Lonchura striata: one gene and its partners. The protein of the gene in region 4 purifies or fractionates together with the protein of the main gene of each other region. This does not show direct contact. Links are inferred from orthologs where the notes say so. Each region holds a gene or a part of one and is shown on either strand. Other genes may lie near its edges.

The links. The genes of interacting proteins can lie anywhere in the genome.
Region 1: the proteins of RNF185 (region 4) and TMUB1 purify together in Homo sapiens (affinity purification with mass spectrometry; 5 studies listed by BioGRID and IntAct, with this or other methods). This does not show direct contact. The link is inferred for Lonchura striata from reciprocal best matches to the Homo sapiens genes RNF185 and TMUB1.
Region 2: the proteins of RNF185 (region 4) and ERLIN1 purify together in Homo sapiens (affinity purification with mass spectrometry; 3 studies listed by BioGRID and IntAct, with this or other methods). This does not show direct contact. The link is inferred for Lonchura striata from reciprocal best matches to the Homo sapiens genes RNF185 and ERLIN1.
Region 3: the proteins of RNF185 (region 4) and BRI3BP purify together in Homo sapiens (affinity purification with mass spectrometry; 3 studies listed by BioGRID and IntAct, with this or other methods). This does not show direct contact. The link is inferred for Lonchura striata from reciprocal best matches to the Homo sapiens genes RNF185 and BRI3BP.

Annotation. Positions count from the first base shown.
Region 1 is NC_134603.1:156,868,781-156,875,733, forward strand, and holds TMUB1 (transmembrane and ubiquitin-like domain-containing protein 1), read right to left. Parts: upstream 2,391-6,953; 5' UTR 2,345-2,390; coding exon 1,965-2,344; intron 1,493-1,964; coding exon 1,138-1,492; 3' UTR 505-1,137; downstream 1-504. UniProt on the Homo sapiens protein: Involved in sterol-regulated ubiquitination and degradation of HMG-CoA reductase HMGCR. Involved in positive regulation of AMPA-selective glutamate receptor GRIA2 recycling to the cell surface.
Region 2 is NC_134609.1:37,328,508-37,335,538, reverse strand, and holds the start of ERLIN1 (erlin-1), read right to left. Parts: upstream 3,005-7,031; 5' UTR 2,951-3,004; intron 2,065-2,950; 5' UTR 2,029-2,064; coding exon 1,916-2,028; intron 1,152-1,915; coding exon 1,070-1,151; intron 721-1,069; coding exon 674-720; intron 1-673. Other genes in the region: CHUK (inhibitor of nuclear factor kappa-B kinase subunit alpha), read right to left, coding at 3,812-4,127, 4,690-4,829, 5,159-5,306, 5,761-5,857, 5,976-6,025. UniProt on the Homo sapiens protein: Component of the ERLIN1/ERLIN2 complex which mediates the endoplasmic reticulum-associated degradation (ERAD) of inositol 1,4,5-trisphosphate receptors (IP3Rs).
Region 3 is NC_134620.1:13,693,610-13,701,191, reverse strand, and holds the start of BRI3BP (BRI3-binding protein), read left to right. Parts: upstream 1-4,578; 5' UTR 4,579-4,604; coding exon 4,605-4,808; intron 4,809-5,669; coding exon 5,670-5,772; intron 5,773-6,421; coding exon 6,422-6,840; 3' UTR 6,841-7,582. UniProt on the Homo sapiens protein: Involved in tumorigenesis and may function by stabilizing p53/TP53.
Region 4 is NC_134620.1:4,592,520-4,599,583, forward strand, and holds the start of RNF185 (E3 ubiquitin-protein ligase RNF185), read right to left. Parts: upstream 3,015-7,064; 5' UTR 2,908-3,014; intron 2,808-2,907; exon of another isoform or gene 2,719-2,807; intron 1-2,718. Other genes in the region: C18H12orf43 (protein CUSTOS), read left to right, coding at 4,016-4,280, 4,666-4,713, 4,967-5,066, 5,672-5,745, 6,071-6,161, 6,548-6,902. UniProt on the Homo sapiens protein: E3 ubiquitin-protein ligase that regulates selective mitochondrial autophagy by mediating 'Lys-63'-linked polyubiquitination of BNIP1.

The sequences.
Region 1 (6,953 bases), on a different chromosome or scaffold from region 4:
GCCGGGACCTCCCGCCTGCCCGGTGTCCCCCGCCCCTCTCCCGGGCATACCCCGACCTCCACCGGCACCAAGCCCGCCCGGGTCCCCCCGGCGGCACTCCCTGCCCACCCCACGCGGCCCGGCCGTACATGGCGCTGGCGGCCGCTCGCTCCCGCCGCCACCGCCGCCGCTCAGCGCCGCCGGGGCACGGGCACGGCCCGGGAGCGCAGCCCCGCCGCCATCTTCCCGCGGCCCCGCCCCGCGCGCGGCGCTTCCGGGGCGGGGCCGGCGCGCGCCGCATGCAAATCAGCGCCGCACCTCCGCCAATCAGCGAGAGCTCCGCTGAGAGCGGGGCGGAGCCACCGGCGCAGGCGCGCTACGGCCCTGCGGAGCGCGTGGCGGGAGGAGCCAGGCCCCGCCCCTCCCGTTGCCCCGCCCCCGCCCCGTTCCCGGTCTCACGCCGCCGCTGCCGCTGCCGCCGCATCCCCGACCCGCGGCGCAGCACAGCCAGGACGCCACGGCCGGTCACAGTCTTTCCGCTTTAATCGGAACGGCGGTGGGGGGTGGGACCCCCCAACACAGCATGGGAACCCCCGGGACAGTGGGAGTGCAGCCACCCCCGGCACCGGGACCGCTTGGGGGCACGAATTCTCCCCCGGTACAGGCACCTTAGGAGCGTATCCCGCCGGCACCAGGACCCTCGGCACCCCAGGGTTCATGTCCCTCCCCGGGCACCGGAACCCCCGGGAGCAGCCCCAGGGAGGGGCCAGGCCGTATTCCCAGGAAAAGCTCCGCGGGCACGGCCAGCAGCTCGGGCAGGACCGCACCCGAGGGGCTTCTGCACGCCAAGTGCATGGGGGGATGCTGCCAGCAGGGACGGAGGCACTGGGAGCCCCCGAGGTAGCTGAGCCCCCACTCCCACACAGCCCCTGTGTGCAGACAAGGTGTGGGTGCCTGCTCGGGACTCCGGGGCCCCCGGGGGACACAGTCCAGGGCCCAGCGCTCCTCTTCAGCCGCAGTGGGCAGGCCCCACGTGCCCCCGATACGCTGAGGGGGCTGGATGCAGAGTCCTCCACGTCCCTGGTGGCTCGGGCAGGCTCTGAGGTTCCCAGGTGCGGCTCCAGGTCCCACGTGTCCCCAGTGCTGGTCCGGGCCGCGCTATCTGCGGTACATGGCGAAGGCCACGAAGGTGACAAGCAGGGTGAGGCCGGCCAGGCAGGTGGTGGCGGTGGCGGTGAAGACGTGTCGGTGCTGCAGCTGCAGGTACCAGAGCAGGGCCAGCAGCAGCACGAAGAGGGGCAGCGCCAGGCTGCCCACGCCCAGTGCGGCGGGCGCGGGGCTGCGGGGACCGGGGGTGCCGGGAGCCGTGGGGGCCGCGCTGGGTGGGGACAGGTGGCAGTGCAGGACGCTCAGGTGGCCCAGGTGCAGCCCTGCCAGGCTCTGGGCATCGTCACGCAGCAGCTGCCCCTGGTAGATCAACCGCACCTGCTGCTCCTGCCCCGGGAAGTAGGTCCTGGAGGAGACGGGGACAGCAGTCACACTGCTGACAGGACTGACCCCCATCCTGTGCCCACTGTGAGCCCTCACGCCACCCGTGCCCAGCTGAGCCTGTGTGTCCCGGTCAGCCACCCCAAGTGTCATCCACATCCTATGAACGTGCCCACCCTGAGCCCCCACCCTGCCCCGCACGCCTGACCCCGCACGCTTGTGCCCGCCCAGCTGCCACCTGCCAGGACAGTCCCTCTGTTCACCCCCTGCCAACGCACCCACCACGGTCCTCCAGCCCTGCCCTGCCCGCACACCCGGGCGTGCGTGTGCCCATCAGCCAGCCCAGGCGTCCCTGCCAGCACGGGCTGTCCCACGGCCCCGCCGCCCGGGCACGGGCCGCTTGTCCCGGGCCAGCGCTGTCCTCGCCAGGGGCTGCGGGGAGGGCAGGGACGCCCGGCGGGGCCCGGGACCGGCCGCCCCGGCCCGCACGCCCTCACCTCTTGAGCGTACCGACGGTGTCCCCGGGGCGCACCCGCGCCAAGCGCTCCGTGTCGTTCAGGAACTTGAGCCGCAGCACCAGCGTGGGCTCGGCGGGGCCCTCGGCGGTGCCCGCGGGAGCGCTCCGGTGCCGCGGCCCCGCCGCCTCATCGGAGGCCGCCGCTGCTTCGGCCGGGGCCGGGGCCGGGGCCGGGCTCGGGGCCGGGGCCGGGGCCGAGGCCTTGCGCTCGGCGGGGGCCGTGCTCGGGGCCGCCTCAGCCGCCGGCGCCGCGGGCTCGGGGGCGCGCGTGGAGGCCCAGGCGAGCCCCAGCACGGCGGCCGCCAGCAGCAGCGCGAACAGCACCGTCACCTCATCGCCGACGCCCTCGATGAGCGCCATGGCGGTGGCAGGCGCGGGGGTCGCACCGGGAGAGGGCACCGGGCGGGCGCGGCCTCAGCCCGCGGGGCCGCGGGGAACCGGGGCCGCGGCCGCACCGGGCCGGGCTCGGGCCGCCATCGCGCCGCTTCCGGCCAGGCGCGGGGGGCCATGGGACGTGTAGTCCTGGCGGCAGGAGCCGTGGCGGGGTGGGGCGGCGCGCGGAGCACGCCGGGAGCTGTAGTCCCGTCCCGGCGCCAGGCACGCCCGGTGTACTCCCGGTTACTGCCGGCGCACCGGCATTCTCGGTGCGATCCCAGCCCCTCCGACACTCCCGGCGTTATTGCAGTAACCTGCAGGGTGTTCCCACACAGTTCCAGTGTGGTCACAGTTTTACCCAGCATGGGCCCAGCTGCTCCAAATACCATCCCAGTTGCTGCCAGCATGGGTTCAGTCACTCCTGGTGTAATTCTAATTAACCCAGTTAACCCCAGTGTGATGCCATTTGTCCCCAGTGTAGTTCCAGTTGCTAGCAGTCACCCCCAGTATGGCTCCAGTCACTCCCAGATACTCTAGATACTTCCTGGTTTAAATTCCTGTGCGTGTGTCACTTGGGGACAAGGGCAGTGGTGGCCAGGGCCATGCTGAGGGTGGGCAAGCTCAGGCATCTCTGAGAGTTCTACCCTCAGTGATTCTGGAGCTGTGAATCTCCAGGAGTGACCAAAGCTACCTGCAGGCTCTTATTAAAATCTTTTATATTAGGTGAAACATTCTTAATTTTAGGTTAAAAATTGTTAATTTTAGGTGAAAATGTCTTATTTTTTTGCTAGAAATTATTCATTTTAGGCGAAAGATTCTTAATTTTAAGTGAAAAGTTCTTGGTTTTATGTCAACAAGTCTTACTTTTAGGTGAAGAGGTCCATCCACGGAAATACTGCAACAGGGATGGGGGAGATGGGAACAAAATGATTCTCCCATACAGGACCATTGTGGATGGAAGGAAAATTCTGGACAACAATGTCCCCTGTTCCCAGAATGTCCCCTCTATGGGTCTCTCACTGGTGTGGCACTGACATTTCCTGGGATAAGATCACGAGGATTTTATCCTCCATATTATTTGTCCTGGGAAAAAATCAGGGTGAAATCAGGATAAAACCGGGAGGCATCAGCGTGCCAGGGCAGCCCCTTCCTGCTGAGGGTACGTGGGGTTGAGAGCCTCCGGGAGAGGAGTCACGGTTTCCGTGCTGGGATTCTGGGTGGGAAGGAGGGGCTGCAGGGCAGGATCCCCGAGAGAGGCAAAGCCCGAGGAGGGGCTGCAGGGGAAGATCCCCAAGAGAGGCAAAGCCCGAGGAGGGGCTGCAGGGCAGGATCCCCCAGAGAGGCAAAGCCCGAGGAGGGGCTGCAGGGTAGGATCCCTGAGAGAGGCAAAGCCCGAGGAGGGGCTGCAGGGCAGGATCCCTGAGAGAGGCAAAGCCCATCTGGGCCAGAGCTGCCCAGCAGATCCCAGCGCTGTCGGGGCAGTGGATGTGGCACAGCAGCAGATCTGAACCGTGGCTGATCCGTGCAGGCACAGAACCGGGATTTACCCTTCCCGACAGTGGAATGAGCCTGAATCCACTGCTGCAGGGGTTGTGTCTGCTCAGATTTGAGGGTTTATCCAGCGGTTCATCCCCTCCCAGATAATCCCAGTGTCTGGTTGTCACTGTGGATTTGTCTGCCTTCAGCTCCCAGAGAGTGAGACTTTTCCATCCTCCCTGTCTCGATTAAGAAGCTGTTTAATATTCCCCTGAAAGCTCTTCCCAGTCACCTTCAGTTCCCAGGAAAGCGGAGCGGACTGTGCTCCTCAGCTCTGCAGCCCGGAGCCAGGCAGCGTTTGTGTTGCCGTGCCCAGGGCTGCTCTGGGTCCCTTGGAGTTTTGATGCTCTCCTGAAGGAGCGGTGAGCTGAAGCCATGGCCAGTCCCGGGGGTGGGAACGCCCTGCCCTGCCCTGCCCGGGCTCTGTGGGCGGCAGAGGGGTGGTCAGCAGGGTGGGGACCCCCGCAGTGGCACCCAAAGGTGTCCCAGCCCCTTCCTGCAGTTCTGCCGTGCTGTGACGGTGGCTCTGCCCTCCCAGGGCACAGCGGAACCCGGCAGTGCCCGGCCCCTGGGCTGGCACTGCTGCGACCCGAGAAACACCCTGAGGGGCTGGAGTGTGTCCAGGGACTGGAGCTGGGAAGGGGCTGGAACCCCAGGAGGGGCTGAGGGAGCTGGGCAGGGCCTCAGCCTGGAGCAAAGGGGGATCAGGGGGGACCTTGTGGCTCTGCACAGCTCCTGACAGGAGGGGACAGCCGGGGGGGTCGGGCTTTGCGCCAGGGAACAGGGACAGGGCAAGTGGAAACAGCTTCAAGTTGTGCCAGGGGAGGTTTTGGATATTGGGGAAAATATTTTCATGAGAAGGGCTGCCCCACTGTGTTTCTGCCAGCGTTCATGGTCCCCTCATTCTGGTTACTCTTCATTCACCATTTCACCTTTCCTCAGTGTTTCTCCGCGTTTCTGCCCCCATGACTGGGCTGAGCCCCCCTCCTGTCCCTCAGGCCTTGCTGGGATTGCTGGCCCTGAGCTCTGGTCAGGACCTCCACCGTGCCCAGGGGGGTTTAATCCACCTTGTTCCATTTTCAGCCTCTTTCCCAGAGCCCACATATTCAGAGTCCAGCTGCTCTGGGGCTGTGGCCAGAGAGGGGTCACAGAGGGATTCTGCCCCAGTGGGGCACTGGGGACACCGGGACACCACCCTAGACATGGGTGTCCACCCTGTGGTGTCCCTGGCTCGCGCGGAGGCAGCGCTGGAGAGGGTCCCGGGGCCCTGGAGAGTCAGGCGGACACCTGGAGTGGGACAGGTCCCAGCTGCCCCCAACATCCACGCGCTGGCCTGCGGCATCGCGGGGGTGGCAGAGAGCCGCGGTCCCGGCGGGTCACGCTGCGGGGCCGGCAGCCGCGCCGCGTCCCGGCACAGCGCGGGGCCGTGGGCTCCGCGTGGGACCCGCCGGAGCCGCAGCGAGCGCGGCAGCCGCCGAGCGGCGGGAGCCGGGGCGCGCCGCACAGCGCTGCTGCGGGTCTGGGTGGCACCAGCGGCACCCCCGTGCTGCAGAGCGAGATTAGAGAGCCGCAGCTATTCCGGGGAAAGCTGCTGCCTGAGCCGCCGCCCGGAGAGAGCTGTCCCTGCCACTGCAGGGCGACGTGAACACCTCTCTCCCGCAGGCAGTGCTGCCGCGCAGCAAAGCGCCGATGTGTTCGGAACAGGAGCCGCAGCTCTGCTGGGTGCACCGGAGGACAGCAGCCCGAGCTCCCGGAGACGGACGGAGTTTCCTACTCCCCTTAGTCTGGGGGAGAGGAGCAGGGTCCCCAGCCGGGTCCCCAACTGTGCTCTCAGCTCTCACAACAGACATGTCCCCACAGAAAGAAAGCCCCGGTTTTTATTGCAAGACTGATCCAACACCTCCGTGTCTCAGCGCTCTGAGGAGCCACAAAGCCCTGGAGAGCCCCCGGGCCTCCTCTCTGCCCATTTTGCTCGGGCAATGACTGAAGCTCAGCTCTGCGCCTTGGCCCCCCCTCAGCTCTGTTCTGGGGGTGCTGCTCTCCAGCCCCGCGTCCTGGGTGGACATTGGGGGTCTGCTGTGGGGACCCTCCTGCTGCCCCACATGGGCCTGGCACTGTCTGGTGTCACGGAATGGTTTGGGTGGGATGGGCCCTTCACAGCCATCCTGCTCCACCCCACTGCCATGGGCACCACAGGTACCAGGGTCTGGGGCTGGGAGCAGCAGCACGAAAAGGAGGGGGAGGAAGAGGAGGAGGAGGTAGTGAAGGAGGTGGCAGCTCCTCTTGGCAGCGGTGCCGGTTTGAGGCACTCACGAAGTGCAGCCTCAGATGGAAGGGCTGCAGATGGAGCAGAGAAAGTTCAGGATCTGAGCTGAAATCCATCCTGAAAAGCAGTTCACATCTTCAAGTGGCCCGTGTCTGCAGAAGGCAGGTGGTTGCCCATGCCTGAGGGAATGTCTGCTCCTGAAAGCCTCGGCTTGTCCCCACCCGCTCCTGCCTTTTCAGCAGATTGGACTCATCTCCTGGGTTTTCCCATCCCTTTGCTAAGCCCCAGTTCCATCTGTTTGCTCTGCTCCCTCTGCACCTCTGCGATGCTCCAGGCTCCAGTTCCCCTGTACTGGTCCCGGGGCTGACTGGGGTTCCTGCTCCACAGGGGCTGGCAGGGACAGGGCCCATCAGCACAGGCCTGGGCTGGGCAATGCTCCATCCCACGTCTGCCCGTGCCTCAGCCCTGCCCTGTGCCCTGGGTCCTGTGTCCTATGCCCTGTGCCACGTGCCCTGGGTCCTGTGCCCTGTACACTGTGCCCTGGGTCCTGTGTCTCAGCTCTGTGCCCTGTGCCCTGTGTTCTGTGCCCTGTGTCTCAGCCCTGTGTCCTGTTCCCTGTGCCCTGTGGCTCAGTCCAGCGCCATGTCCTGTGCCCAGTGCCCCGTGCCCTGCTGGCTGCTGGGAGGCGCAGGGACCGTGGGGTCTGTGCGGGGGGTGCTGGTGGCCCAAGGAGAGCTGAGCTGTCAGCTCAGGGTGGCCTGAGCCGTGGGGATGAGCAGCCGGGGCTGCAGG
Region 2 (7,031 bases), on a different chromosome or scaffold from region 4:
TGTTTTATTAACATTGCCACTAAAATTCACCTTTTAATTTCAATGTGGTCACTGTGTGCCACCACTGATTTAATTTTTTGAACAGAAATTTTGTTGAGGACCCTGAACATAAAAGACAAGGAGAATCACTGGGTTTTTTTTTACCCTGAAGAGTCATCACTTTAACTTGTGGACGAACCAGCACAACAGGATCTGTAACCCAACTCAACCAGCCCTCTCCTCCTGCTTGCTACAACTCCAGCAGGTCTGTGCTGACAGAAGAATCAGCCTGACTATCCAGCAGGAATTTCATTTGGAAATGAACTCCTTCCCATCAGGAGGATTCCCACTCCCTGTTTCCTTCTGCCTGCTGCTGGGGTCAGCACCTGTATCAGCCACAGGACTCAGAGTGGAAATGACCAGTCTGAGGGCAGAGCAAAGCACAAGTAAGGGAGTGTCAGAGAACTGAGGGGAGAAGCCCAGAAAAATTCAAGATAACATCACAATAAATGCAAACATGCTCTGAACAGCTCCAGCAAGAGTCAGTGCTCCCTCCTGTTGTTACAGAGGGATAAATGTGTGTACATCTGGGATTAATTCTATGGCAGGTGCCTTTCCTTCCCGATCCCTGTGTCCCAGCACTGCAAAGGACCCCAAGGAGTGCATCTAGAAGAAATACAAGTGGAAGCCATACCTTGTCCCACAAGGCACATTCTTCACTTCATCAGTCTGCAGCGTGGTCTGCAACACAAACACAGGCACTGTTCACAAACCTGACTCCAGGAAGGCCCAGACTCCCACAGTGGCACCACAGAGCCAAAAGCATGTCCTTTGCCACCCCTGTGATGCCTGCAGGTGTGGGCAGAAGGCAAAGCTTCTCCTCCCCTGCCTTTTGGGGGATGCACAGGCAGCTGTGCCTGTTTCCCTGCTCTGGAATGCGGTGCTGCAGGGGAACAGTGACAGCCACAGACATGGACTGTCCTGCCTGAGCAGGACACTGCCACTCCCAGCGGTGTCACACACACACACGGTGGGGAGAGCTTTCCAAGGGGACAAGTGTGGCTCCCCAGGGCAGGGAGAGGGCACCGACCTGCACGGATTTGAAGGTGGTGATGAACGGGAGCATGATGTGGTAGCCAGGGCCGCTCGGGCTGGTCAGCAACGCTCCACCCCTGAGGAGAGGGAGGAAAACAGGCTCAGGAAGGTGCAAACAGCAAGGGCTGCCTTTGAGAACATGCAGGGACAGCTCGAACTGCCAGGGGTCACAGAGAGTTGCATCAGTGCCCTAAATTCGCCAGCAATTCCACAGAAAAAGGGCTGAGTGCACCTGATCTTTGCCTGCTGCAACTTTGCGTAAAGCCTGCGAGCCATTAACTCTTGGAGCAGGCAGCTATTGCCAAACCCTCCCAACATTGCAACACTGCACAGAGCTGCAAGAACACAGACTTCTCCTCTCTAAATAGTTCAGTGGTAACCATGGAAAAATCCAGCCATGGATGTGATGCTGCCAGCTTGGATTTCGGCACAGCCCCTCGCCCAGAGAAAAGCCCCCTGGGGTGTTAATGCTGAACACCATTGTGGTCAAAGGAAAACATCCACGGTGCTGAGCAGGAAGGGCAGGGAAAGCATTCCAAAGCAGCGACACAGCAGGAGCTCTGGCTGGGCGACTGCTTGGGACAAAGGTGACAACTCTTGCTGGCACAGAGGGAGATCAACAGATGCGAGGAGGGACGCGGAGAAGCTCTGAGATCAGTGTGAGAGGGCAGGGAGGAAGGAGGGGCAGGAGAAGCAGCCGAGGGCTCAGCCAGCCCAGCACACGCGGGCTCTGCACGGGGCGAAGGGAGCAGAAGCAGCACGGGTGCAAACCCTGGGGGAGAACCGGAGGGAGCCCAGGGCAGAGCGACCCGGGGCGCCGAGCTCCGGAAGGGCTCCGTACCTGTAGTACACGGCCAGGTGTCCCTCCTCGACGCGGTGGATGGCGGAGTAGAGCAGGAAGACGAGGAGCCCGCTGGCAGCCGCGGCCGCCGCCCCGGCCTGGGCCATGGCCATGCTCGCATCCCCTCCCGGCGCCGGGCTCCGCGGGCCCTGCCCGGCACGGAGCGGCGTCAGCGCCGGGCCCGGCACCGCCCGGCACCGGGACACGCCCGCACACACGGGACAGGGACGGGACAGGGCCCGCGGGGACTGCCCCGGCACCGCCCGGCCCCGTCCCCGTGCTCTCCATCCCGCCCGTATCCCTACCCTGTACCTGCCCCTACTCCATAACGACCCCAATCCCTGTCTCAGACCCGTTCCTTTACCCCAATTCTTGTCCCATCCCTGTCCCACAGCCCTCCCAATCCTTTATCCCAGTCCCTGTCCTGTTCCTGTCCCTATCATCTCAATCCCAATCCCTGTCCCTACCCTTTACCCTAATCTCTGTCCCGTTCCTTCGTCCCAATCCGTTTCCTTTATCCCAACCCCTGTCCTGCTTTTATCGCAATCTTTTACCCCGATCCCTGTCCCGTACCTGTTCCTGTAGCCCAATCCCTGTCCTGTTCCTTTATCCCGATCCCTGTCCCGTACATTTACCCCTATCCCTGCTGTCCCGTATCTGCCCTGTTCCTTTACCCCGTTCCCCCGCTCCCCGTTATCCCGTACCTGTCCCGTTCCCTGTTATCCCATTCCCCCGTACCTGTCCCGGGCCTTTACCCGCTCCCCGTTACCCTATACCTGTCCCGTTTCTTTACCCCGATCCCGTTGCCCCGTTCCCCGTTATCCCGTACCTTTACCCGTTCCCCGTTATCCCGTACCTTCACCCCGTTATTCCGTACCTTTACCCGTTCCCCGTTATCCCGTACCTTTACCCGCTCCCCGTTATCCCGTACCTTTACCCGTTCCCCGTTATCCCGTACCTTCACCCCGTTATTCCGTACCTTTACCCGTTCCCCGTTATCCCGTACCTTTACCCCGTTATACCGTTATCCCGTACCTTCACCCCGTGCCCCACGTGCCGCCGAGGCCGCGCTCCCAGCCCCTCCGCGCACGCGCGCTGGCGCGCGGCACTCTGGGCGCGCCGGGCCGGCGCGGGGTGATGACGCCACCGACCCCCCCCCTCCCCCTCCCCAGTTGCCAGGCAACGGCGCGATGGCGAGTAGGCCTCGGCCTGTCAGCTCCGAGTTTATTCATTCTATATACACGCACTATACATTCATGGGTCACACCGCCCCCCGCCCTCAGGAGGCTCCACGGGCCGGGCCCAGGCCGCTGCCTGGGGGACAGCCGGTGGGTGACACGGTGATAGCAGTAACACACTGGTGATGGCCATAAAACACCAGGGATGGCCATAAAACACCGGCGATGGCCATAAAACACCGGCGATGGCCATAAAACACCGCCATGTCCCACAGGGAAGGCGGCCCTCAGCACACAGAAGGCACTTGGGTGATGCAGCACCGCAGCTCCTGGGGTTACTTCAGCCAGCTCCAGTCGAAACTCTGCGAAGAGGAGCAAAAACACGACTGAGCGCAGGGTCTGGATACTGGATGTGTGTCTTGCTTGGCGAAAAATCAGTGACTGCCGTGAGAAAGGATGCTCTCAGCACAATGCAGCACAGCACAGGAGCCCTGTGAGCCCACTCTAGTTTGGGAGATCTCGGGATTCCCAAAGGATGAGTGCCTCCTCTCTCCTCTGAGCAAAGAGAGAGCTGGGATGGCTCAGCCTGGAGAAGTTCCAGGGTGACCTCACTGTGGCCTTGCAGTGCCTGAAGGGGCTACAGGAAAGAAGAGACTATTTCCAAGGGCCTGGAGTGCCAGGACAAGGGGGAATGGCTTCACACTGCCAGAGGGCAGGGCTAGGTGGGATTTTGGGAAGAGACATGTATCCATGCACACTGGCACAGGGTGCCAGAGAACCTGTGGCTCTCCCTGAATCCCTGGAAGTGTCCAAAGCCAGGCTGGATGGGGCTTGGAGCAACCTGGTACCTTTTCCTATTCAAGGATTTCTCCACATGCCCAGGGCACCCCTGGGTGTCCCCTGAGAGCCAAGTCCTGGCAGATGCCCCAGCACTTACCATCATGCTGTTCTGCTCCTGCCTCACCTCCTGCAGAATGCTGCTGAAGAGCTCGAGGTAATTCAAATTCTCCCGGATCACGTCAGCAAAATTTTCCCTGCAGGAAGGGAAAAAAGCCCCAAGGTGATGGATTTCAAGCAGCACCAAAAGTAACACCCCCATCAAAAGGTGCTGCACTGATGGAAAAAAAAAAAAAAAAAAAAAAAAAGAAAAGAAAAAGGAAAACAAACAACCCAAAAAAGTTATTTGTAGTTTGTGCAGTGGTAGGTGACATAAAAACCTGCCTGGAGGTGGCAGGACAAAGGAGAATGGTTTCACACTGATAGAACATAATTAGAATTGTTAATGAAGCAAAGAGCAAAACCCCTCAGCGCCACAGAACTCAGCATAGACTGAGGGAGAGGAGCCTTAAGAACCAGATCCAGCCCCAAGGAAGAGCAACATGACATGCAATAAACGGATGCACAGTCCTTCAGCAGGGCATGTACCATGTGGAACTAGCTCAGAAACAGCAGAGATTTCTGAATAGAGAGTTCAACCAAATCCCTGATTTTTTAGAGCGTTAGTGACATACACACTCCTGAAACCACTGTGGGAAGGACAAAGCCCCTGAGATGCTGAGTTCCCTGCAGTGGCTGCTCCCCAGCAGCAGCTCATACCCATCTTCAGGAGCTGCCAGCGAGGACAGAGGGTGAGGAGCAGTGTTCCCTGAGGAGCTCTGGGGGAGCCATGTGGCTGCTGGACTTGAGGCTGTCCCTTCCAGGCTAGAGCTCACCAGGGATCGGGAGGAGCTCTGAGTCTGCAAGAAAGACATTCAGAAGAATTTAGGCTTCAATGATATATAGGGAAGATTTGGGATTGCACCTGAGCACTGCTGGTAACACACACAGAGATGTGGGAACCACGAGGTGGCTTCAGGCACTGTAATTAATGCAAAAAAAGGGAACTCTTAAACACTTCAAACTAACCAGGAAAGCACCTATTTAACTTCTGCTTTTACCATCTCAGACTGCCCTTCTCTACAGGAAAAAAAAAATCCAACCATGGTGTGGCAGTTACCCCTTTTTGCTGAGTTTACTTCCCGGCTCAGGCACTGCAAGAAGTGCAAACAACCCAACAGCTACTCACACAAGCAATTTTCAGCAAATGCCAGATCTCCCTTTGTCTTTTTCCCTGCATCTGCATCACTGAGTTGTCAGCTTCCTTGATGTTATTCAGAGCCACCTCAATCTCGGGGAGCAGGTCAATGATCTTCTGCTTGCAGCCCAAGAGCTTGCTGGAATGAAAAGCAGACACAAAATCACTTCCCAGCACATTTTAACAAAACCAAAAGGATCTTGGGATCCAAGATACTTGAAAAATTCATGTACAAATCACTGCGTTATCTTCTCTGTAACACTACTGCTTTTTTTTTTTTTTCCTTTGAATTTGAAGGAACTTTTTTTCCTTTGAATTTTGCAGGAATTTTAATTTTTTTTTTCCTTTGAAGATTTGTATTCCAACTTCCAACTGGCAGAATTTGCCTCATTTTAAAGTGAACTCTTGGATGCTAACAATGTTTTTAAAAATGAAGTGGAAACTCAACACAAAGGAGCAGAATTAAAGCTATGAGAAATGTGAATGGAGCCTTTTGGGTTCTGACCTCCATGGTTTTCCCTATCCTTTCTGACGACAAAGCTACAAATGCTGCAAGTTGGATTTGTTTGGGGTTTTTTGTCTGCATAAAGTACCTGAGGTGGCCAAAGAGCTCCTTGAGGACTCGGTCCTGGCTCTGCACTGTCTGCACAATGATCTTCACCATGTCTGTGCTGTCACTGTAGGCATGATCTGCAAGGGCCAGCAACCACCACATTAGTAAATCCTAACAGTATTGCCTGGGTTTCAGTTCAGAACAATTAATCATGGGGTAAAAGTGTGAAAGTCTTTAAATCATCTTCTTCCATACCTGGAGGTCGTGTTTTTAATTGCTTGTACAGGTCTATGGCTCTCTGCTCCCTTTAAAAAGAAGAATATGATTCAGGCAGGTGTCGGCAGCCAGCTGACTCAGGAGAAAAAGCACTGCAGTGAAGGGATGCCTTTTGGAACTCAGACACTGGACCTTCTCCTACAGTGGGCCACAAGCATGGCCTTTGGAACACAGGGATCCCTTTCTGTGATGGAATCCAACACTTTCCCCAAAGCTGTCTCTCTTTTTCTCCAGCTGTGCAATTTCTTCTCAGAAAACCACACCAAGCGGAGCTTATTTTCAGTTTCAATTCTTCCCATGGCTTAGCTGTGATTCCTTTCCCCTTCATTATCTGATTTAATTTTTGAAACTCTGACTGTACAACTGCCTGAGAAGTTCTTGTTCCTGCTCTGCATTTTTTGCCTGAATTTTAGTGATATTTTGTAAATGGAAAGAGACAGCTGCATCACAAGCAAGACGACCGTGCTTCTCTTCTTCCCATTAAATAAACATTACTTCTTTCAAGCATTTCAAAAAGTCACACTGAAAACTTCCAGCCTTGAACAAAATCCTCCCTGTTCTAAATCCCAGTCTGTCAGAAACAAGCAGCAGCTTCCCAGCCCTGATCCTGGTGGAACTGCAGCAGTGGAATTGCTTAAAAATAATGTTTAAGGAGGCACAATCCTGGTTAGTTTGAGCAGCTGCTGCAGGAGGTGGCTTCTCCTTTGCACCACTTCCTCCCCTGTGCACCAGTTCTGCTGCAACTACACAGGATGAAAAGCAACTTTGCAAAGAGGGAGGGGGGAGAACATACCAGGAGCAGGCACATTTCCTCCCTGAACAGTCAGAGCTGTTCTGAAGAGCTCTTATTGACAGGTTTAATGGCTGTTCAATCCTTTTCTTTTAGAACTGCCACTTGTGCTCTCAGTAGCAGCCCAGTAACTGCTTCCTATCTCTCCTCAAGATCAAAAATACCATTTAGCTCTTTCGTATTTTAATACTTAAAAAAAAAAATCAACTTTCCAAATATCCAAGTACCCATGAGATAGTTACCCT
Region 3 (7,582 bases), about 9.1 Mb from region 4:
AAAAACCACTTGTGCCAGGATGGAGGTGTGTGGGCATAGAGGAAAACCTCTGCTGAGGCTGACCTCTTTGTTGCACACCCAGCGCCGACCCCGGGCTCGGCACTGTTCTTTCCTTATGGCTAGATAGAATTTGATTGCAAAATGAATATTTTAATTATTTTTTATTTTAATTTGGCTGGACAAATTTTCATTTATAGCACAGCCGTCCGCGCTCTGACCCCGCCGCCGCCGCCCCTCAGGGCCGGGCGGGCCCGCGCTGCGGACGGATCCCGCGCGGGGCACGGCGGCCCCGACGCCGCCGCACCTGATTGGCTGCGGCGCGCCTGGCCCCACATCAGCCCAGAGCCCGCGCTCCTCGCGGCTGGCCCGGCGGGGGAAGAGCCGGCGCCAGCACCGACCAATCGGCGCAGAGGTTTCTTAAGCCCCTCTGCCTGCCGACCAATGAGCGGCCGGAGCAGCGGGAGGTGTGCCCAATCGGAGGAGCGCTCTCATGGCGCTGGGCGGTTGGGGCCGGGGTCGCTGCGCGGCTCCCCTCAGCGCTGAGGCGGTGCCGGAATTGCCCGTTTTAGGATAAAAAACTCAGTCCCTGAATCAATTGGGCTGGGAAAGACGTCTGAGGTCATCGATTCCAACCTCTGACTCAACACCACCCTGTCAATCACACCACGGCAGCCTCGTGCAACCTTTCCTGAACCCCTCCGGGGCCGCTCATTCCCCCACCTTCCCCAGCCGCTGTTCCAATGTCTCAAACATCCTTTCTGCCAAGTGTTTCCTCCTAAAAGCAGCAGCAAAAACGCCGCTTTCTCCTACCCAAAGCAAATGAGCAGCTAAATCACCTGGAAAGGGACACAAAAATCCTCTCGCTGAGCTGAAAAAGGTGTCATTTAGAAAGGACTGACCCAGTTACAGCTCAGGGAGGAAGGGGGATGATGGATTTGCTGTTAAAACTGGGCTTTTAGGAAAAATATCTAAAGATTTTGAATTTTTTTTTTTTTTTAAGTCCTGCATACAGAACATCAGCCAGCTGGTTAATGAGTCTGGATAAGAATAAGAAATTCCTGGCTCATTTGATGTTCATGATCTCTGCAAGCTCTATATGGTGTCAGGAGTACAAGTAACCAGAATCAAAATCAAAGCTGAAAATTGTGTAATTTAGAAAGGACTGACCCGGTTACAGCTCGGGCAGGAAGGGGGATGATGGATTTGCTCTTAAAACTGGGCTTTTAGGAAACACTGATAGCACTTTTCCCCTTATTAGCAGCAGTTTTACTATCATGTCCTTCAAATGGGATTATGCATCCATGTTCCCTGCCTTAATTCCAGTTTTCCCTTATCCACACCAGTTTTTCCCTCTTTCAAAAGTGATTTTTAAAAAATCAAGTAAAAGAAGGAAAATTAAACAAACCTATAATGAGAAAATAGGCATTAACAGGACTGCAGTGACCATTGCAATTAGTTTGGAGACTAGATTAGGATAGCCAGAGGAAAATAGCCTCAATAAGATTAACTGGAATTGTCCATTTCCAAATCTTTTTAAGCCTTGCCTTATGCCTTCTAATAGTAATAAAAGGGTAGAAATGAAATAATGTTTTCAGATTAGATTAGGGGCTGTTCAAAAGATGCTTCAGAGCTGGTGGGCAGCAATAATGCTGCTGATGGCACTACCCTGCTGTGGGCTCGGAGGTAACCTGGAGTCACCTGCAAGACTAAACTGACTGATGAAATGCCAGAATCTATCAGATAAAAGTTTTGTAATAATACCTCAGGGCAATCTCTGCAATATGCCAAGGCCTGACCATGATCCCTTGAACCAACTGGATTAAGATATCTAAAGATTTTTGATTTTTTTTTTAAATCCTGCATACAGAGCATCAGCCAGCTGGTTAATGAGTCTGGATAAGAATAAGAAATTCCTGGCTCATTTGATGTTCATGATCTCTGCAAGCTCTATATGGTGTCAGAAGTACAAGTAACCAGAATCAAAATCAAAGGTGTTTGGAGAAAGGGAAAAATAAATAAAAGGGAAAGGGAAAAGGAAAAGGGAAAAGGAAAAAGGAAAATGAAAAAGGAAAAAGGGAAAACGGAAAAAGGAAAAGGGAAAAAGGAAAAGGGAAAAAAAGAAAAGAAACATTGACACATTGCAAGAAAAACCTCATGGAGAGGACATTAAGGAAAAAAGGCCTAAAATGACAAATGGTCATAAAGAGATCAGCTATGACAGGTAGAGGCTGTGAAATGAAGCAAAGACAGAAATAGAAGGGTCAGTGAGGTTAAGAACAGCTGGCTTTCTTTAAGGCCACACTTTTTTGAGTATAATGATGAAAAATAAAAAGAGATCTGCTAAAACTCATACCCATAGAAGGCCCCAATTTTTTCTAAACACTACTCAAATTGTTGTTAAATCCCTTTCTCTTGAGTAAGACAACTAACCACAGTTTTTAGTGCAGATGAAGAAATAGAGAAGCACACTCATGTCTCCTCTGTACAGTGAGACCCTCACCAGAGGACCTTTCTAGAAACCTTCCAGCTCTCCTCATTAAGAAGTTGAGTGTGGCTGAGATTTGTGTTTCATGCCATGATGCAATGGATTATTTGAGCAGACACTGTTTGGTTTATTTAAAAGAGCAGGGTGAAATACCATGTAATTTCATAAGAGCTGGGTATTTGGAGAGATAAACACACCTGAAATGGCCTCGTTGAGACAGGTCAGGATATCAATGAAATACCAGGAAATTTCCCAAATTGTCCTGACCTCATGCAAAGGGCAGCCACTACCACAGGCCTCTGGAACTCTGTGAAGAACAGATGGGAAGAAACAACAGACACTTTGGAGAAAGGATTTTGAAGGGATTCCACCATGGACATTCACACAGAGAAATAGGAATGTTCCCAAATTTGCACAAATAACCCGTTGAACCATAAGCAGCACAAGGGAAGGCCATGCCAACTTGAAGCAAATCAAAGTATTATACCAGGCACAGAAAGCAACACTCATGACAGCTAATTATCATCAGGTTTTTTTTGTATCATGAGACTCTTAACATGCAAGAAATGCCCCAGAAGCTGACATTTAGTGTGTGCTCAGAGCACAATGTGGAATTGAGGGCAGATAACCAGAAACCTCATAAGAACCTCCAAAATACCTCCAAAAATCAGCTACCAACCTGTTCTGGAAGAGCATGAGGCTTCAGACTGTACACAGGTATCAACAGATCAGCAAAACTTAAATGAAAGCAGCCTTTATTAATATATAAAGCATCTATATCCTGCTGAAATCGAATCCTAAGTACCTTCCTGGATGTGGGCCCATTACTTTCCAGGGCCAAATAGAAAACAATGCTGAGATGTCTGGGCTGTTCTGCTAAATGTGAAAATAAGCGCTTTGGCCAGAATAAAACTGGGGAAAAGGCCAGAGCAGAGATGTCTATATTCTAAATGTCTACTCAGCTACCAGTCCTAGGCTGAGCCACACGGCTTAAACATCAAGAACATGGAGTATAAAATCAGCTGCCACAGTCTCTCCTCCTAAGAGACGGTCCAAACTCCAAATCATCTTTGTGGCCTCTGCTGGACCCTGTCCAGCAGCTCCTTATCTCTCCCACACTCAGCAGCCCCGAGCTGGGCATGATGCCTTGAGAAGGCTGATCTAGAACAGAGACTAGACGGAGTTACAGAACAAAGCAGGGATTTATTAAAAGGATCTCCTCCATGGATCCACCTTGGGCAGCACAACTGCACCCAAAAATGGTCATAAAAAAGACGACTGGTGGGTCAGGGGGAGTTTCACACTTTTATAAGTTCTGCTCCATTTGCAACCTTGGGCAGCACAAGACCCCACCAGGGCTACACCCAAAAATGGTCACAATAAAGACGAGTGGTCAGAGGGGGTCTCACACTTTTGTAAATTCTGCTCCATTTGCGTGTTGGAGTTAATCATCCAGTTGCAGCGTGTTGCCTTCAGGGGAAGGCAAGGTGACCTTGTTGCAATCGGGCCAACAACACACGCTAATACCAATGCGGTGGACGGTCGAAAGGCCTTTATTATCTCATCTCATGGGTTTAAATAGTCTTGGGGGACTTTGCTACGTCAGGGGGGGTTAGTAGGGTCTCTAGGGTTAGTAAGGAGTGGAAAACTACTGGGTTAGGTGTGGTTACGTGTTGCAGGGTGAGGGGGGAAGAGTTTTTCTTTCCATCACATCTCGAAATCTTCCGTTCGCCTGTCCCTGTCTATTACAGTAGAGTTAGCTCATGAAGTCCCATCCTTCTCGTTTTTCTCTCTTCAGTCCATGTTGCTTATGCTCTTGGGGCTGAGATTTGGATCATTTATCGTTGCTAGCTAGAGAAGGAATTGCTTTATCTGCAGAACAGAGCTTACAAACACGAAGCTCAGAACTTCAAAGCAGCACAGAACCTGAAGACGAGCAGCGCTGCACCCCGACGCCCAGGCACAGCGCTGCGGACGCGGCTCGACCAGCGGAGCAGAGCCCCGTCCCGCGTTTCCCGGGGCCCCGTCTCCCGTCACTTCCTCGCCGCGCCGCCCCCCGGACCCGCCCGCGCGGGGCCGCTGCGGCCGGCGGGCGGCGCTGCTGCGGCGGGGGGCGGCCATGGCGGCGGCGCGGCGGGTGCAGCTCCGAGCGCTGCTGCTGCTGCTGCTGCTGCTGCTGCTGCTGGGCGCGGCGGGGCCCGGCGCCCGGGCGGCGCGGAGCCGCGGGGCCGACCGCCAGAACAGCCTGCGCCGCGCCGCCAGCGGCCTCTACCAGGGCGTCAGCGGCCTCTTCGGCGAGGACAACGTGCGGGCCCTGCAGAAGGTGAGCTTGCTGCTCGCCTCTCTCCTCCCCGGCCGGCTTGCCGAGCGTCTCCTCCCTCCCCAGCGCTGCTGCGGCGCTGGAGCGGCCGCGGCCTCGTCCCGGCGCGCAGCGCTGCTGCGGGCAGGGAAGCGGGAGGCCAGGCGTGCAGCAAACGGGGGGAAATTGCGGCTAAACGCTGAAGTGTAGGTGGTGCGAGTGGGGAGACGCGCAGGGCCGCCCGCTGGCCGGCTGAAATCCCGGCTGTCTGCAGCATCCTGTGCTGGGGGCATCGGAGCTCGCAGGGAGGCAGGCGAGGGAGGCCAGGCGTGCAGCGAGCTGCGGGGAAATAGCGGCTAAACGCTCGAATGTAGGGGGTGTGAGGTGGGGAGACGGGCAGGCCGGCTGAAATCCCGGCTGTCTGCAGCATCCTGTGCTCGTGGGGCATGGGAGCCGTGCGTTCCTCCGTGCCTGCTTTCCTCAGGCAGCAATAAATGCTGTTGGATTGACCTCTGAGTACACCTGAGACTGCTGGGGACATCTCTCAGTTGCTCGATAAAACTAATTCTTTGGTTTGCTTTACTAGTTGTTGGTCATAGTGTTTTCTCTAATCTTCAAAACGATAGTAAAGCCAATAAAGTGCATTTTTAAATCTTGCCAACGTATACATTTACATTCCAAAATACCTACAGTAATGATAATTGCAGCGCATAAATTCATGATTCACGGAGCTAAAAAAATTTCAGATTTACCATTTTTACTGTGGGGACTACGAAATAATCTGCAATTCTTGCTTAATTAATTATAATTCTACTCATGGCAAATAAGTCTCAAAGTATTATTTAGGAATTGAGGATTTTTTTAATTTTCAATTTTATTTCTCAGTTTTTCTCAAGGTTGACAGAGAGGTTTGTGAATGGGGTGGATGTATTAATGGACACATTCTGGAGAATATGGACTGATTTGTTAGATGTTCTTGGAATTGATGGTAAGTGTGATGCCTGTTCACCCTTGAACTGTCTCAGCCTGTATCAGTGTTTACAAGCGAATGGGAAAACAGTTACATTTTATCATGCTGCTTAAACATCCATCAGTGGTGTCTCTGCTTCACATGGCTTTGATTTTCCTATTAGTATCTTCAAACAAGAAGACTGAACCCCACCATTCCATTTCTGTATGTGTATCTACAGGATGTGTAAAGAATGAATTACCAGTCACGGCTGGTTCCTTGGTGTCATCATTAAATGGATTCACACAGCCAGGAACAGTGCAGGGAAATCAATGAGGACCAGAGAAAAGAAAAATGCAGTTGAGAGCCTTTAGAATGTAGCTTTGACAAAGCAGGATCTGCAGCCCCAGTATGAATTTTGACCTCAGGCTCTACAGTGGTTTGTCTTTAAAGAGCCTTTAGCACCTTTGCTGGATTGAATTCAGTTGAATCGCTGGAGCTGAGCCAGTGGTTTGAAGAAGGTTCATCCAGAACTAGGTGAACCAGCTTTACCCTTTACTTTAGAAAACACAGCCGTGACCCCACTGCTGTGGGGATTTGACCCTTTGGAGCTGTGCTCATGTGTTTGCCCCGTGCCACCTTCGGCCCACGCTCATTAACACCCTGCACATTTCCCTTTGTTTTTCAGCCTCCAACTTGACTCATTATTTCAGCCCAGCAGCGATTGCCAACAACCCGACCCGCGCCCTCCTGCTGATCGGTGCCATTTTACTGGCCTACTGGTTTTTATCTCTTTTCCTTGGATTCTTCTTCTATCTGCTGCACATGCTGTTTGGCCGCTTCTTCTGGATCGCCAGGGTGGCCCTGTTCACCCTGTCCTGTGTGTACATCCTGCAGAAGTACGAGGGCGACCCGGAGCACGCCGTGCTGCCCCTCTGCTTCGTCGTGGCCGTCTACTTCATGACGGGGCCGGTTGGGTTTTATTGGAGAAGAAACAGCAACAGCAGCCTGGAGGAGAAGATGGATCACCTGGATAGTCAGATCAGACTGCTGAACATCCGCCTTTCCAGGGTGATCGAGAACCTGGACAGGGGCAGCGAGCAGTGAACCCGCCCCTGCTGACCACTCTGCACCAGCTCTGGAAAAATCCTAAGCACTGTCTCATCCGAAGTTACAAAGCAACAAAACATCACATGGTAAAAAGTGTGCGAAGTTATAACTTTTCATCATGTCTAAGACTTAATTTATCTAGGTTAAACACTCAGCCGTTAGACTTCTAGGAGAAAGAAAAAACCATTTACAAAATTCAGCTGTATATTCAGAGTTTTATCCAGTACTAGAATTTTCTCAGTAGATAAACGCTTACTTTTACAAGCATTTAAAAACATCTTTTGTAAAGTTTTTATAAAAGCAAATTGAGTAGTCTTTCAGATATTGAAATTGAGTTAAACATATGCAAATTTGACACTAACAGTTAAAAAGAAAAAAAAAAATCTCAAGCTACCAAGCACTTCCATTGAGAAGTAACTGCTGTGGGTCCATATTTTTTCTTCAGAGTTGTGAATGTTTTTGTGTTTTTGTTGGCTTATTCCATTGCCTTGAAGTTGCCTTTCATAGAGTATCAGATGAGGAATTTTCTGGTATCCAGGCCAAAAAATTCACACCATAGCTTTTAACAGGAGGTGGGGAATGAGGGAGAAGGAAGATCTGAAGTCCTTAAATGCCAGTCCAATGTGAGGAAGCACACGTGTGGCATTTTATCATCGCGTTTCATCCCGAGAACTTTAATTTGTTAGTGTCTGGAAGGAAATCTGCTTTAATAAATTGGCACAGAAGGAAGATGTAGTGT
Region 4 (7,064 bases):
CACAACAGGCCAAATGAACCCCATTCTCAATTTGCTTTAGAGTTTGGGAGGAAGACTGAGTACACTGAGATAGAATATGACTTCTGGGGTTAAGTAAACACAATTGAGGGATGCCAGTCAAGGTTTGCAGGTTTGCTACAAACTTATCCATCAGATCAGGTCTCCAAATCAACCCTGGAGGCATGATGAGCAACAAACAAAACAAGGGAAAGGATATAAAAATCAGCTGATACCTAACTGCAGGCATTCTGAGATCTTGCCTTTTCTCTTTCTTACTTCTTTGCTCTCTACATATTTACAGGAAAACATTATCTTTGTTTCATAAAAGCCATCTAGATTAGCTGTTTATTTCCTTTAAACCACAATCCCTATGTTATACCCCAACAGGTTCTTCTGAAAAATGACTGACGTTTACTACCAAGAATCAAGAGTGGCAGCAGAGGAACAGTTAAGAAACAAGGAACTCATCTGCAAGTAGGCTTCCTAAATAAATACAGAAACCTGGTGGAGCATGAAGACATGGAAGTGGAGGTACATGAGAGGGTGGAACTCCAGAAGGACCTGAACGTGTGGTGACAGCTGAGAGCACAGGAGGTCCACGACAGGAGTAAGTGCAGGGGACTGGGCATGTCCATGGGCTGGGTATGGATCTCAGTCAGAAAGAAATTTTCCCCTAATATTTTAAAAACTTCATCTGTAAATCTACTGTACACCAGGAAAGCACGAGCTGAGTGGCTACTGTCAAAGATCACACTTCTGAACTCAGCAAATGACTGCATTTGCCAAAGTACACTGCCTAGCCCTCAAAACACACGAAAAACACTTCAAGACAGGCTAGGGGAGTTTTCACCATAAGTTAAGGTACACACAAAAAAACCTGCTGGAAACAGCATTAATTCAATGTTAATTCAACCTGAGAAAGGCAAAGAGGGACTATAAATTAGAAGCTAATTTCACCTATAGAAAACAGTCCTGGAATACGTGTTCACAGCATGACATGAGGATGTCTCAAGTATTTATTTTTTTTCATGAAAAAATGAGAAAAAGTTCTGGTGAGAATATAGAAGTCTGGCTAGTTTATTAACAAAACCCAAAGTTTGTTCCTCTTTGCCATAACAATGAAATAAAAAGAGCAGCACTGTTGGATGTCAATTCCACAGGAAAGACCCTTTTCCATATTTCTTTCCTAATAAATTTTATTTTAACTAAGATTACTGAAATTTAAATAATCTAAATCTAGTTTGTTTATGAAACAAGTTCTGATTTAGTTCCTGAACCTTTTGCAGTTTAAATCAAAAAGATTTGTCAGTGTATTTTTCTTATCCCTAAGGTAATAGTGTCATTTTCTGACACTGAAAAATTTTACAAAAGGAAAATTCAAATTAGAAAATAAATTTAAATCTAAAACTACTACTGAGAGTTTATATAAATATGCCCACTCATAAATTTAACAACAATCTGAAACTTAACATATTACAATTGCCTGGGCTTCAAGTACAACCAGGTAACCTTAGCTGAAAATTGCTGACAGTGCCTAGAAGAAAGTGCACTGACTTCTTGACAGTCATTTTAGATATTTTTAACAAACGAATGAGTGTCCTGTTGTTAATCATTAAATACATATTTATCTCTCACTACCTTTTTACTCTTTTCTATCCCCCAAACATGTTACATTTTAACTCCTTGGAAACATTTCTCAAGTTTCATCTCTCCACTTCCGGCAACCCGTATTGGGCACCTGCATTTTAATATCACCACAAAGTGGTCCCAAAACATGAATTCACTTGTGATCACTTGCTCTTGCAAAAGCAGCCATTTGCCTTCCAGTCCAACGTGCCCTTGCTGGCCTCGTTTCATGAACTGGGATTCTGCAATGCACATCTGTGTTACAGTCAGTGCTGCCAGGCTGAAGGGCTCTTTTGGGAACACCGAGGAGTCCATGTACCTTGTAAATGCAAACAGCAAAAACCCTCGGATGATTCAAGTAACTGCTTTTTTGTTATCCGTTCCATAAAGGTTTAATATAGACTCCAAGAAAAATCTTTCAACAAAGATTTTATCCTCTTACCTCACAAAGTCCAAAGGGGGAAAAAAAAAAAAAAAAAAGGAATATAACCAGTTGGGTAATGCTGCCCCAGCGTTTTCCTGGTTTGCAGTGCCGTGTGAGAGACGTGCTTGGCTAACCCAGGTTAGCAGCAAAACGTAAAAATATCAAACACAGCAGTTTTTACATACAACAGACGTGATTTAAGAAGTAACAAGCGAGTCTTAATGTACGAGCAATTCTCAAAATATATCCGGTGTCCCGCCGCAGCAGCTGACACCCCGAGCCGTACCCGAGCCGTGCCCGAGCCGTGCCCGAGCCGTGGCCGAGCCGTGCCCGAGCCGTGCCCCGAGCCGTGCCCGAGCCGTGCCCCGAGCCGTACCCGAGCCGTACCCGAGCCGTGCCCGAGCCGTGCCCGAGCCGTGCCCGAGCCATCCCTCGCTGCGGGCGGCGGGTCGGGCCCCGCTCGGCGCCGGCACCTGCGGAGCCCCGCAAAGCCGCGGAGCTCGGGACTCGCCCGGGCCCGCCGGCCGCGCTTCCAGGGCACCGGGCGAGGCCGGCGCTCCGCGGCGGGGACGGCTCCGGCCTCGCAGCGCCCGGCCCGGCCCGGCCCCGGAGCCGCGGCCCCGGCTCCCCCCACCGCGCCCGGCCCGGCCCTGCCCGGCCCTGCTCACCGGCGGCTCCCGCCGCGCCGCGCCGCGCCGAGCCGAGCCGAGCCGAGCCGCGCCGAGCCGCGCCGAGCCGAGCCGAACCGAGCCGCCCTCCGCCGGGCCCGTCACCTGACCGCCCGGAAGCGCGGCCGGCGGAAGGGCCCGGCCCCCGCCCCGCCGCCCCTCGCGGCCCCCGGCCCCCGGCCCCGTTACCTCGGGCAGCCCCGCCCGCGCTCGGCCCCGCCGCGACCCCCGGTCCTGCGGGCGTGGGCGGCTCTGCTGCCCGGGGAGGGGCGGGGCCGCTCCGAACGGCGGCGCCGGGCACTGCCAGGAGCGCGCCGAGAAAGCTCGGCCCAAGCAGGAAGGGAGGAAAGAAAAGGACGGAAAGGGAAGGACGTAAGTTTGAGGGAAACGAAGTGTTGACTTAGGAGTGTAGAGTGCTAAGAGTCTGAGCCGAGAAGCGGATTCAGGATGGAAAGAATCTGAGCTGAGAATCTCCAGGATGGAAACGGAAACAGAGAGCTGGATAAAGGTATTTAGAGATTGATAAAGGTATGTATACAGTTGTGAGAAACCAAAGAACCAGAGGGACCAAAGCGAGGGAGAGGAGGTGACCTGCCCGAGAAGGCATTTCTGGAGGGTTTGTCCCAGCTCTGAGGGCACCCCACCAGTCCTGGGAACTCCAAGGTACAAAACAGCCCAAAATTGCTTGTTCTTTACATGGTGGAGAACGGGTAAATCCTAAACCAAGGTATTCCACTATAGCAGGTGAGTTTTATTAGGGAATAGTGAAGAAATTAAGGGAAGTTAGTGCCAAGGGAACCCATCAGAAAGAGCCCAAGGATATTGGCAGTGACCTGTCTGCTGCCAGGCAGCCTGAGAGTGCAGAGTTCTGGCGTGGAGGTTGGAAGGTGCAAGCCGGGAAGTGTCCACCAGGATAAAAACAGTTATACGAAATCTTTCTGCTGCTTTCCTGCACACAGGCTTGGCAAAACCCACAGCAAAATGGTTATCCAGAAGCCCACCTGGAGTCACCAAACACATTGTCTCACACCAGAAAATTTCAAGATGACTTGAAAATGTAGCACTTAACGTGACAGCGCTGATGGCATGAGGAGCACACAAAGCAGTCCTTCCTACCTGCAGAGCGGTGAAAATCTCCAGCAAAGCCACTCTCTCGTTTTCCACCAGCACAGCTTGGCACAGCTTCTATGCCCCAGCAAAAACTTTCATGTCAGTGTAGTAACTGATTAGAACGTTACCAGGGCCCCACAGACATGAACCGGATCCTCCAAAAGCTGATTAAAACAAGGATCAGTTTATGAAAGTCGGGTACGAGGGACGGTGTTGGACTACAGCTCCCGGCATGCGCTGCGGCCGGACTACAGCTCCCGGCACGCGCTGCGGCCGTACCACAGCGCCCAGCGTGCCCCGCGCCTGCAAGATGGCGGCGCCCAGGGGCGTCTCGGGCCCGGACAGCGACACCGGCTCGGACTCGGACAGCGGCGGCGAAGCGGCCGCGCGGTTCCGGGAGGCTGCCTGGGACTGCACCGCGCTGGCGGCGGCGCGGGCGGAGCCGTGCGGCGGTGAGAGGGCGGGGGACAGACTGGGCTCTGCTCCCCGCGCTGCGGCGTGCCCTCCTCTCTCTTCCCCGCCCCGCCCCGCCGCTCCGGTCCGGCCCCCTCCGCAACTTCTGACCCGTGGGGATTCCTCTGTGCCGCGCTGCCGGTGTCAGAAGCGAGGGGGCTCTGCCCGACCCTCCCGAGCCATGTCCGGCCTCCAGCCCGGCCCAGAGCCCCCTCCCGGCAGTCCTGGCCTGAGGGGAGTTCCCCTTTCCCCTCATAACTGTTCTCCCCCGAAGGCGGCCCAGGGCTGTCTTTCAGGCATTGTTTTTATGCTCTGACATGTGCCTGACGGGGGTTAAGGAAGTTCTGGCAAGTCTCTAAGTGTGCTTTGCTGCTTTCCTTTCAGGGGGCTTTAGAAAGGATCGGTTGCAGCCTAAAGATCAGCCAAGCTTGAGGTATTTTTGCTTCTGGTTTCAGACTTAATGTTTCCATTAAGAAAAAATTTATGTGCAATATTTTTGCTGCTTCTGCTTTGTACCTTATGATACTTCGTACTGAAAGGGGAAGTTTCTGTTTGGGGAATTAGTCCAACCATAATCTGAAATTATGCTTAAATTTGTACAGGATAATATGTTTTTAAGGCTTTGGGTGAGAGGGACAGATATTATTGGCCTCGAAAGAGATAATCCTTGTTCTTATTTCAAACGGGCGTGAGGCAATCGGCCGTGAGGAGGGTGACAATGAGCTCCAGACGACTCCAGAGTTCAGAGCACACGTTGCAAAGAAACTGGGAACCATGCTAGACAGGTACTGGTGTGCAAGGCTTGAAACCTGTGTTCTGTGGGTCAGTTACACTGACGTGTTTGTGTGCTAAACACGGGAAAGTCAACATCTTGTCTCCTTCATGCCTGTATTAAGTACAAACTTCCAGTATTCTGTGACCTAACCTTGCTGATGTGTTGTGCCCATCTAGTCAAAACTCTCTGTGCAGCACTGGGTGTCTTCATTTGCCTCTGTGGTGAACATCTTGTGCGGAGAAAAAGAGACGTCCATCCTGTAAAGGCTGGCGAGAGAATCTTGTTCTCACAACCTCCACCAGTCCCTGAATCAGGGCTGTGCTGGCAGAATGATACTGGGCTGCCCCTCTGTCTATTAGGCAAGGATGGCCCTGAGGAACTGGAATTCCTGCTGTTCAGAGCTGGCTTCAGAAACACTGTTTTCAAACTGTTCTTCTCTTCCTCATTGCTGAGGAGAGAAGGCCTGGTCTGCTCTGGAAACAGGGAGCTGAGGCAGCCTCACTAACAAAAAAGGATCTGTGCAACATCTCCCTCTAATCTTCTTTCCCAGAAATACCCACCTGTAGCTCAGTGTGCACAAACCTGTCTGAGATCTGACTGGGATTTTCTGTTTAGTGTCATCACTGTCTTGAAGGATTCATCAGGACCATCACAGACTTGGTTGGCACAGTCTGACTCTGAAGATGATGGTGAGTTCCAGTCTCAGCCTTTGTATCTGTTTTGTGACTGTTGGCTGCTGACAGGTGGGGTGGATCCTGTCCATCACCAGGACAGTGCATCCCAGTGTCTCATAAACATTTGCTCTGAACTGAAAGAACTTCTGGTGGTGTCTATGAGAGCTGCTCCTTTTCAGTTCTGACCTCTGTGCCCCAGGTCCTCCCACACAGTCCCAAATATTTGCTGTCAAGCACTGTGGAAATACAGAAACAGCACTGAGGCTTCCAGGAAAAGAGCAGTTGATTGATTCCACCTCTGTTTTATATTTTGCCTAAAACCCCTCTTTCCATACTTCAGGTTTCCGCCTCTTTTCTTCCTCTGTCCCTGGAGACTGTGGGAAGCCGGAGCCTTGCCCTGCAGCAAGGAGGAGGAGGCCAGTTAGCTCCAGGTGAGGTGCTGGCAGCTGCTTTGCTCCTCAGGTACTGTTGCATCCCACATTTCAGAGGCAGCTGAGACTCCCACAAGGGAATAGGAAGCTGAAGAGCTTGAGAAGTGTGCATTTATGACTCCTATATTTGACTAGACCAGAATTTTGTTACTTTTTTAGTGCTGGAGAATGAGAAACGTTTGTGGGAGATTTTCTTTCTCCTCCTAGTGTGTGTAAAGAGCACACTGGCCTTCAGACTGGTTAAATGCAAACTGTAGGTGTGGGAGTCTCAGAGCCACTGGGTGTTTATCGTGTGTTCTCATCTCAGATTATTCTGCTGTTCAAGTTCTGGGTGAATTCAAGGAAAAAATACAATACAAATTCCTTCCCTCTTGTTGCCTTTCCAGTGACACAGACAGTGAGCAAGAATGGCAAAGGTGCCAGGAGGCTGCCGTGTCAGCTGCAGATATTCTGAAGCAAAGTGCTTTCCCTGCATGGTCCCAGGGCTCCAGCCAGGATCAGAGTCAGAGTTATGTGGAACCCAATCAGAAAAAGAAGAAGAAGAAGAAGAAGAAGAAAATGAGGAGAGACAATAATATTCAAGAGAAAATAATAGACCCAGCAGAGTGTGACCAGATCTGCAAAGATTTGCCTCGGTTGGTGTCTGCAAATGGCCAGCAGGAGAGACAGAACAGCCATCACAGAGAGAACTCTGTGCTGCCAGGAGCTGTGAAGAAGAAAAAGAAGAAGAAAAAAGAATGATGATTTTGCTCTGCAAACAGCAGGTGGTTGTGATGGGTGAAGGAAACTGAAAGAAAACCTAACAACAAGAGTTGCTGCAGATGAGGGAAAATTAATTGGCAAAGCATCTGTTCTAAAAGCTCAGTGGCCTGAGAGACTAATTAAGTGACTTCCTGTGCTACT